2 linked regions of the Macaca mulatta genome follow. The protein of the gene in region 2 purifies or fractionates together with the protein of the main gene of each other region. This does not show direct contact. Links are inferred from orthologs where the notes say so. Each region holds a gene or a part of one and is shown on either strand. Other genes may lie near its edges. The genes, in order: SIRT5 and GLS.

Region 1 (3,811 bases), on a different chromosome or scaffold from region 2:
TACTAAAAACACAAAAAATAGCCGGGCATGCTGGCGGGCGCCTGTAATCCCAGCTACTCGAGAGGCTGAGGCAAGAGAATCATTTGAATCCAGAAGGCGGAGGTTACAGTGAGCCAAGATCGCGCCACTGCACTCCAGCCTGGACATCAAGTGAGATTCCATCTCAAAAAAAACCCAAAAAAACAAAAAAACCCGCAACAAAAAAACCTCTGATCCAATTACAGATTATAGAAGTGCTGTTTTAATGTCTGGTTTTGAAAAATTGGCATCAAAATCTTCCTTTTTTTTTTTTTTTTTTTTATCTATGAACATTCTGTTGGGTCCTGTAACCTCTCCTATTCACGTCCTTTCATTGCCTCCTTATTCATTGCCTCCTTAACCATGGATTAATAATGCCAGTGATGTTATTTGACCAGTTATAGGTCAGCCCATATGCTTTCTGTACACTGGGTAACCACCTGTCACACAACAGCTTCAGAAACTTTCCCGACCTGAAATGATCCCGCCAGAACACAAAGCAAAAAGGGGTTGGAAAGAAATCATTTTTTTCATCCTACTTTGGTTCATCCTTTGTCCTTTCACTTTTGGTCTTAGAGGTCAAGGCTAGTTTTCACATTTGTGCATTTGATTTAAGAGGCATCTTGCCAAATACATGTTTAGATTTTGATGTCTATTTTTTTTGTAACCAGGAACACTGGTACAAATCAGAGCTTTTTACCCACCGGGGAAGTTTCTCAACTGGGATGCTGGCATCTTGAGTTCCAGGTTCTGGAGCACTGAAGCAAATAATATTAGAAAAGAAAGATTGTTATTGGCATAATAAAAAATAAAGAAACAACATAACTCAGTTTGTATATTTGCCTGGTAGTATGTGGTGTAAAACTCCTAATTAATACATGCTCACTTGGAAGGGCATTAGAAGGAAGGACCCCAGGCCATTAATTACCAGTGGTACTGGGCATAGTGGCTCATGCCTATAATCCCAGCATTTGGTGAGGCCAGAGTGGGAGGACTGCTTGAGGCCAGAAGATCAAGACCAGCCTGGGCAATATAGTGAGACTGCATTTCTACTAGAAATACAAAAATTAGCTCAGTGTGGTGTGTGCCTATAGTCCTAGCTACTTGGGAGGCTAAGGCAGGAGGATTGCTTGAGCCCAGGAGTTGGAGGCTGCAGTAAGGTGTGATTGTGCCACTGTACTCCAGCCTGGGAAACAGAGCAAGACTCTGTCTCAGAAAAAAAAAAAAAAAAAATCACCAGTGGTTGTACTGCCAGTGAGAGAATTCCTGTGTAGGGAGGGCTGGAGTAGCTGGGTGTGCTAAGAGGGAACTTCATGTTTACCTTTATACATCATCATCATTTGTATCCTCTGCAATGACATTATACATTCCTTGTATAATTTATACTGTTTTGAAATGGAATTTTCCTCAATATTGTGTCTACCCTCAAATGTTTCCCTTATTGTAATAATAGTGCTTGTTCATCATAGAAATGTAGGAAAATTCAGAAAGATATAAAGAAGAAATTAAAAATTACCCATAATCCCTCCACTCCTGATATTCCTTGTTAATATTTTGTTATATTTTCTTCTGGTCTTTTAACTATATGCAGTTATACAAACTCATGTGTGTATAAATTCAGGACCCTGTGGTTTTCACTTAACACTGTAAGTTGTGAGCAAAATATTTCTTTTATCACAAGGCTATATTTGTTTTTTTTTTTTTTTGAGACAGGGTCTCCCTGTCACCCAGGCTGTGGTGCGGTGGCATGATCTCAGCTCACTGCAGCCTCGACTTCCCAGGTTCAAATAACCCTCCCACTTCAGCCTCTCTAGTAGCTGGGACTACAGGCATGTGCCACCATACCCAGCTAATTTTTTTTTTTTTTTTTGTAGAGACAGGTTTCTCACTATGTTGCCCAGGCTGATCTTGAACTCCTGAACTCAAGCAATCTTCCCACCTTGTAACCCCAAAGTGCTGGGATTACAGGCATGAGCCACCGCACCCAGCCTTGTATTTAGTCTTATTTCTCATATCAATGGGAATCTTTGATGAATGTTCAATTTCCTCACATTTATGTCCGACCTAAAGGAGAAAACAACATATACTTATTCTGTAGTGTGGTATAATTACCCTTTTCCTGATAAAGCTGGACAAATTGGACTCTTGTAATTCTCAGCCACAACGCCACAAGAGGTACATCGAGTTTTAAATAAGCTACCTGAAAAATACATATGAAGGAAATCCAGAATTTAGTCTAATCAAGAGCAATCATCTCCACATCTGAAAGGGTGTAAGATACTTCACTTTCCACACTTCATTTCATTTTCTGGTCTCACCCAGTTACCCCGGCTGGAGTATAGTAGTACGATCATAGCTCACTGCAGCTTCCAACTCCTGGGCTCGAGCGATCCTCCTACCTTTGCCTCCTGAGCAGCTGGGACTATAGGTGTGCACCGCCACACTGAGCCATACTTCATTTTAGCAAATGGGCCTACCCTAGCTTTCATGGGAAACAGAGGCATGCAGTACTCTTAAGCCAGTCAAGAACATATGCCCTCAAGGACTTTATAATCTGGAGGAAAAATAACTAACTCCATGACTAACGTGCCGTCAGATGACCTTGGAGTGGTGTTCAAGTGGGCAGAAGTGGCCAATAGGGTAGAGGGAGCTCAACGTAAATCTGAGGGCATGATTTATTGATATGACTGATAAAGGTTCAACGGCATGGGATATGTTTACAAAATCTTAACTTTGATTTCAGAAAGCTTCAATCTTTTATACAAAAGCACCTCAATAAATAAGTAATCAACTACTAAGTGAAAAAAGTAATTGTTAATACTAATGACTACTTATTGAGCTGAAGGGGGCCAGAGTTTATGAAATGGGTACTAGGCACCTGGTACCATGCAGAGCACTTTCAACCACGGTGGACATGCGCTGCTCCGTTCTGCCCCCGAGTCCTTCCTTCGGGACCACCATCCCTGCTCTCTCGCGTGCTGAGCCAATAGAGCTGTGGGTCACATCCCAAATACAAGTTCGGCCACATGCTCCACACGGCCCCCATGTGGGGCCCATCCCTCTGCAGTCATGTTTGGTCAGAAGGGTGGGCATGTGGACCAAGCAAGCCCACCCAGAGGTTTATTTTCTGAGCCGGTGGCTGAGCTGGAGAGCCTGGAGCTGTCGGAGGCACTCTCCCCTGGCACGTGGAGGCAGATCAATTGCAGAGGGAGAAGGGAGGCCACCTCAAAGAGTGAGTAAAGCTGAGAGAAGGAGGGGGCCAGGGGCCAGGAGGAAAGATGACACAAGCTGCACCCCCAGGCTCCTCGGTTTTGTCAGTTTTAGTATAGACGTTTTTCCCCATTTTCACATCTCTGAAATTCAGATGTGTCCTGCAATTGCTACTAGCCAGATGTGAGTGTGACATCACCATCATGCTTGCACAGACTTGCTGAAGGAGAACACTGAAAAGTGGGGTGACTTGGTTGTTATTCTCCATGGCCTGACCAGGCAGATTCAGCCCCTGGATCCTTCCACCAACAAACCATTCAAGGGCCGCTTCAGGAAGGAAAGCGGGTTTTGGCTGTTGTCTACAGCCTTTCCACTGATGGCCTCTTGGTAAGAGTATGTCAGGCCCAATAGCGAACCTGCGGAAGGTATGCCAGGAGCTTGCACGAGAATCGCAGCTCTAACAGAGGGGCATTCTCTCTGGAAAGGCCGCATCATCCATGTCCTGAGGCACAGAGCATGAAACTGCATGGAAAACACAGACATCCATGCTCTGAGACACTCAGAATTCAGAAGAGCTAGATAA
Region 2 (4,538 bases):
ACATTTTTATGGAAACTAAAAACATTAAAAACCTTCATGTGCAAGCCTGAAATTCAAAGGTCAATCTCTTTAACAGGCTTTACAAAAATGAAGCAGAAATTTTTTCTCATTTATTTAATAAATAGTTATGTGTCATTTAACACACGCCAAATACTGTTCTAAGCCTTTTACAAAATGTTAATTTAATTTTCTCATGGTTATTTCTTAATAATACTACATAAAATCTGGCACAGTCCTGAGTGAGTGCTAGCATACCAGGTGGACTGCTGATTGAGGGATGACCTATGCTTTGGAGGCTAAGCATTAGAAAGGATAACAGGATCAACTGGGAGCTTATCTCCCAGGATAAGAGAAATGTTTGTCACATAAAGGCAAAATGAAAGGAGCCAAAAGAGGAAAGCTACATTTGGAAACCAGATCATCCAGGAAATAGAAACTTTAACCAATTAAAATACTTTCTTCACAACCTTGAGGCCATTGCTAAAAGGTGACTTGTATTAAGAAGGCAATGAAACTAGAAACTTCTGGACAAGTAAATCACAGAAGAAGCTCAATTTCCTATTTGACAAGTGGGAAAAAGGAGAGGCACTAGAGCCACTGCAGAGACACAGACCTGAAGACATAATTTTACTAGAAAGCAGTTCCCATCCTGTAGCCTTTAAGATTAACTTTTAAATGGTAGTGACTGCATTTTGCAATTCTGTAACTTGGGCACTTGTATGTAAACTCGTTACTTGCTTGGTAAACCCGATGATGTTAAAGTGAGTCCCAGATAAGATTAAGTATCATACTAGTCCCTAAAACATGAGAGAAGTACAAATTTAACAGGAGTATAGCTTTTCAGAACTTGAAAGGATTTAAGTCATCTAACCTAAGATATTAAATAACTTGTCCATGCTCAGGACGCTATTTCGTGGCACAAAACCAACATCACAAAATACCACAAATTTCGCCCTTCATCAAGTGCTTTTTTCAAATAATCTTTTTCAGTATAGGAGAAGAACTTCACGAAAGTTTTTGGAAGGTCCCAACTTCAATTACAGGAAAACATCAAGCAGGCGTGAGATTGAAATTATAAGAATGTTCTCACTTTCAGTTTGACTCTAGAGCTGGAACTCTAGAGCTGGAAATAGCAGCAGAAATAAAAGGGAAGCAAAACAGGTTAGAGTGTCAGCGTACAAAGCCAGAAAAACAGGTATAATGAAAGCAGGCCGGTAAATTTTTACCCATTTTCGGAAAACAAAGTGGTCCATTTGTATTACATAAGACTAAAATATTTAGGAGACTGCTTTGCATATTAAGAAAAACCAATTTTGCTTTAAGACTAAACTACTGCGCTGTACACATACAGGATGAGTCAACATCCTATCACAACTAAGTCACAAAACCTACTTAACTCAGATTTTTCACTGAGTTAGTGTATTATGTCACATTTCATCTTGGCTATTTAACTTTTATTTCTAAAAATCTCCCCATCTCACGGAAGACCTGACAGGCCAAAGCTGGTCCCTAATGCAAACAGGTGGTCTATACTGTGTGCCCCATCTTCTCGGCCACATAACCCGATTCCTCCTAATCTCACTTCTGAAACATTGTTTCCGGTGCCCCAGATGGCTCTACACGTGCCTGATGTAGCCACTTCAGAAATATAAAGAGCTCTCTGTCACATCTGGTTTCCAACGGGATGATGGCAGAAACCAAGGGAGGGCAGGCAAAGCGGAAACGAGCCAGGAAAGGCGACAAGTCAGGAAGGTAAAGGCTCTGCTGAAAGCCCAACTCCTGAATGTCACTCGGTGGAGATGTTCGTGCGGCATCGCCCACGAACGGCTGGGGCGGGCGGCCAGGCGCTGCAGCCGCGAGCCAGGGAGCTGAGCACGCGGCGCGGGCAGGGGAGCGGCCTCTCTTGCGCTAGGACGCCAGGCGAGCCCATCAGGCCCCACCGCGGCCCCACCCGGGCGACCCCCGCCGGGGGCGGAGAAGGGAAGTGGGAGCCTGGCGGAGAGACGCGGGCGGGGAAGGCTCGGGCGGGGCCGGGCCTAATCACATGGCGCAGACGGCGCAGGCCGCCCGGCACCTCTTTCTTTCTCTTTTCTAGAACCTCGGTTCCTATCCCGCCCCACCGCAGGTCCCCACACACCCCGAGCCTGGGCCCCGAGCGGAATGAGGCCTCCTGCGCCTCGCGGAGACACTCACTTTTCACCTGAGGCCACCAGCTCTTTGCCCTCGCTGTTGCCAAACGCGTCCGTCTCCCCGGGGCTGTCCTTGGGGCCGGGCGCCGCCGGGGCAGCGGGTGGCGACACCCCGGACTGCGGATGCGTGCTCCCCTTGCCCAGCTCCTGCAAGATCTCCGAGGGAGAGCTGGACAGGCCCCGCACAAGGGGCCCCGCCGGCCAGCCGCCCCCGCCCCACCACGGGTGGAGTCGCGCGGCGGCAGCTGGGCCCGCGGCCGGCCGTCCCCCGCTTCGGGGACGCCGGCACAGGGTGACCAGGGGCTGTGCCCGCCGCAGAGTCGCGCTCACGCCGGCTGGCGACCGCAGGAGCAGGTCCCGCAGCATCGCCGAGCCTCGCAGCCGCATCATACCGCCGGGTCCGTCAGCGGCCGCTCAACAGGGGAGGATGCTCCGGGCGTGGGCTGCCGCTTTCCTCGGGGAACGCGGTCTGTGGCGGGGCAGTGAAATGACAAGAGGAAAGGGCAGCGACGTGGGTGTGGTTCTGGCTCGGACTCCCGCAGCGGATGCGGGTGCTGCTGCTGCTGCTCCTGCTGCTGCTGGTCCCTAGGTTCGCCGCGACCGGTTCTCCTCACACCGCCTAAGGCTCTGCACTGAGGCTAAAGCGCAGGGGAGGGCTAGAGACATTCGGCTCTCGCCGACGACCCGCCCCCTTTGCCCGTTCCGATTGGCTGAAATCCTCGACCTCTCTTTTGATTGGCGATTAGGGCAGTCAAATTTCTCTCGGCTCTGGGTGCGCGGAGAGTAGGGCGGGGGATTGGTGGGGAGCGGGGAGAGGAGTCAAACTGACGTGTGCAGCGGCTGAGCCAGGCCCGGCTCCTCAGTAGCCGCTTTCCGCGCGCGGTGCCAACTCCGAGGCTAGCCTAGTTGGGTACTAGGGGCTCTGGGTTCTCGCATTTGTGAAGCGATGGGCTCCTCAGCTCCGGGGATTCGAGCTGTTGGGGAGACTCATGGGCGAGAGCCCCCGCAGCCGAGGGCTGTGAGGTCAGCAGGTTTGGCGGGGCTGAGTCTGGCCGAGCTGTTGGAGCTTGACCGGTCCCAGCTCGCATCTGGCTCCCAGGTCAGGGCATCTGCGAATCCTCCGAGAGCAGCCCCGGACGAGCTTCATCCCTCTCCCAAATGTAACATTTGCTTGAAACTTTCCATGATTGGCTACTACCCAGACGTGAAATGTTTTGGAAAAAATGAGCACAATCCTTTCAGCTATGTGACTTAAGCCAATGGAGGGTGGAGGTGGGGGGAGGACGACGAATGGGGGCGGTGCGGAATCCAGAAAACGACAGCTTTTTAAAAATTAATTTTTAAATGTACACCGATACTTCAAAAATAGTTTTGAATAGCAATGACTCCGTTAACGCTAGTTTGCTTGAAAGCAAAATTGTAGATACTTTTCTATTTTAAAAACTGCTTCACTGTTTTTAAAATAGAAGCGTTGGAATACGGGTTCTCTAAGTTATTTCAGCATCACTTTATCCATTTATCCTTTTGGACCTGTGGAGAAAGAGCCAAGAACCTGATAAACTGAGTTGTTCCCTGAGCCTACATACACATTCCATTCCAGGACAAAAAAATGTTTTTAGACGATTTCCTGAAACAATTAGGTTTAAAAGGCGTAGATCCACGGAGTTTAGTAAGATGTTTTGGGGGTTGGTGTGTCGTTATTGTGTCGTGTGTGTGCCTTTTGAGAAAGGGTCTCACTCTGTCGCCCAGGCTGGAGTGCAGTGGCGTGATCACGGCTCAATGCAGCCTTGAACTCAGGGGCCCCGGTGATCCTCCCACCTCAGCCACCACCTGCTAATTTTTTTTTTTTTTTTTTTTTTTTTGTAGAGATGGGGTTTCGCGAGGTTGCCCAGGCTGGTTTTGAGGGATCCGCACCCCCTGAGCCTCCCAAATTGCTGGGATTACAGGCGTGAGCCACCGCGCCCAGCCTAATGAGATGATTTTATGAAACTAGAAGGTGTATGTCAGGTGCGTCATTAATTGATCACCGGATTTAGTAATCTAATGAACTGTAAAATATTTTAATAGATTAATAATTAGGAAATCTGGCTGTACCCACAGGTTATGTTGACCTTTGGCATGTTACAGCCTTGCTGTGTTTTAAGTTTTTTTTTTTTTTTTTTCTATCTGCTGTTTAACCAGAAGAACATGGAAAAAACTATCATGTGTAAAACATAGTCACCTTTTTTATTAAAAAAAAAAAAAAAGGCAGTTAGGACAATGGCAAACTACTTAGATGGCTTTTATTACTAATGTTACTTGTCCAAAAATGTTGATGAATCCAAGTAATGATATATTCAGGAATAGAGA

What was found.
Region 1: the proteins of GLS (region 2) and SIRT5 purify together in Homo sapiens (affinity purification with western blotting; 3 studies listed by BioGRID and IntAct, with this or other methods). This does not show direct contact. The link is inferred for Macaca mulatta from reciprocal best matches to the Homo sapiens genes GLS and SIRT5.

Annotation. Positions count from the first base shown.
Region 1 is NC_133409.1:169,519,488-169,523,298, forward strand, and holds part of SIRT5 (NAD-dependent protein deacylase sirtuin-5, mitochondrial), read right to left. Parts: intron 2,219-3,811; coding exon 2,131-2,218; intron 777-2,130; coding exon 723-776; intron 1-722. UniProt on the Homo sapiens protein: NAD-dependent lysine demalonylase, desuccinylase and deglutarylase that specifically removes malonyl, succinyl and glutaryl groups on target proteins.
Region 2 is NC_133417.1:95,919,222-95,923,759, reverse strand, and holds the start of GLS (glutaminase kidney isoform, mitochondrial), read right to left. Parts: upstream 2,824-4,538; 5' UTR 2,580-2,823; coding exon 2,194-2,579; intron 1-2,193. UniProt on the Homo sapiens protein: Catalyzes the first reaction in the primary pathway for the renal catabolism of glutamine. Plays a role in maintaining acid-base homeostasis. Regulates the levels of the neurotransmitter glutamate, the main excitatory neurotransmitter in the brain.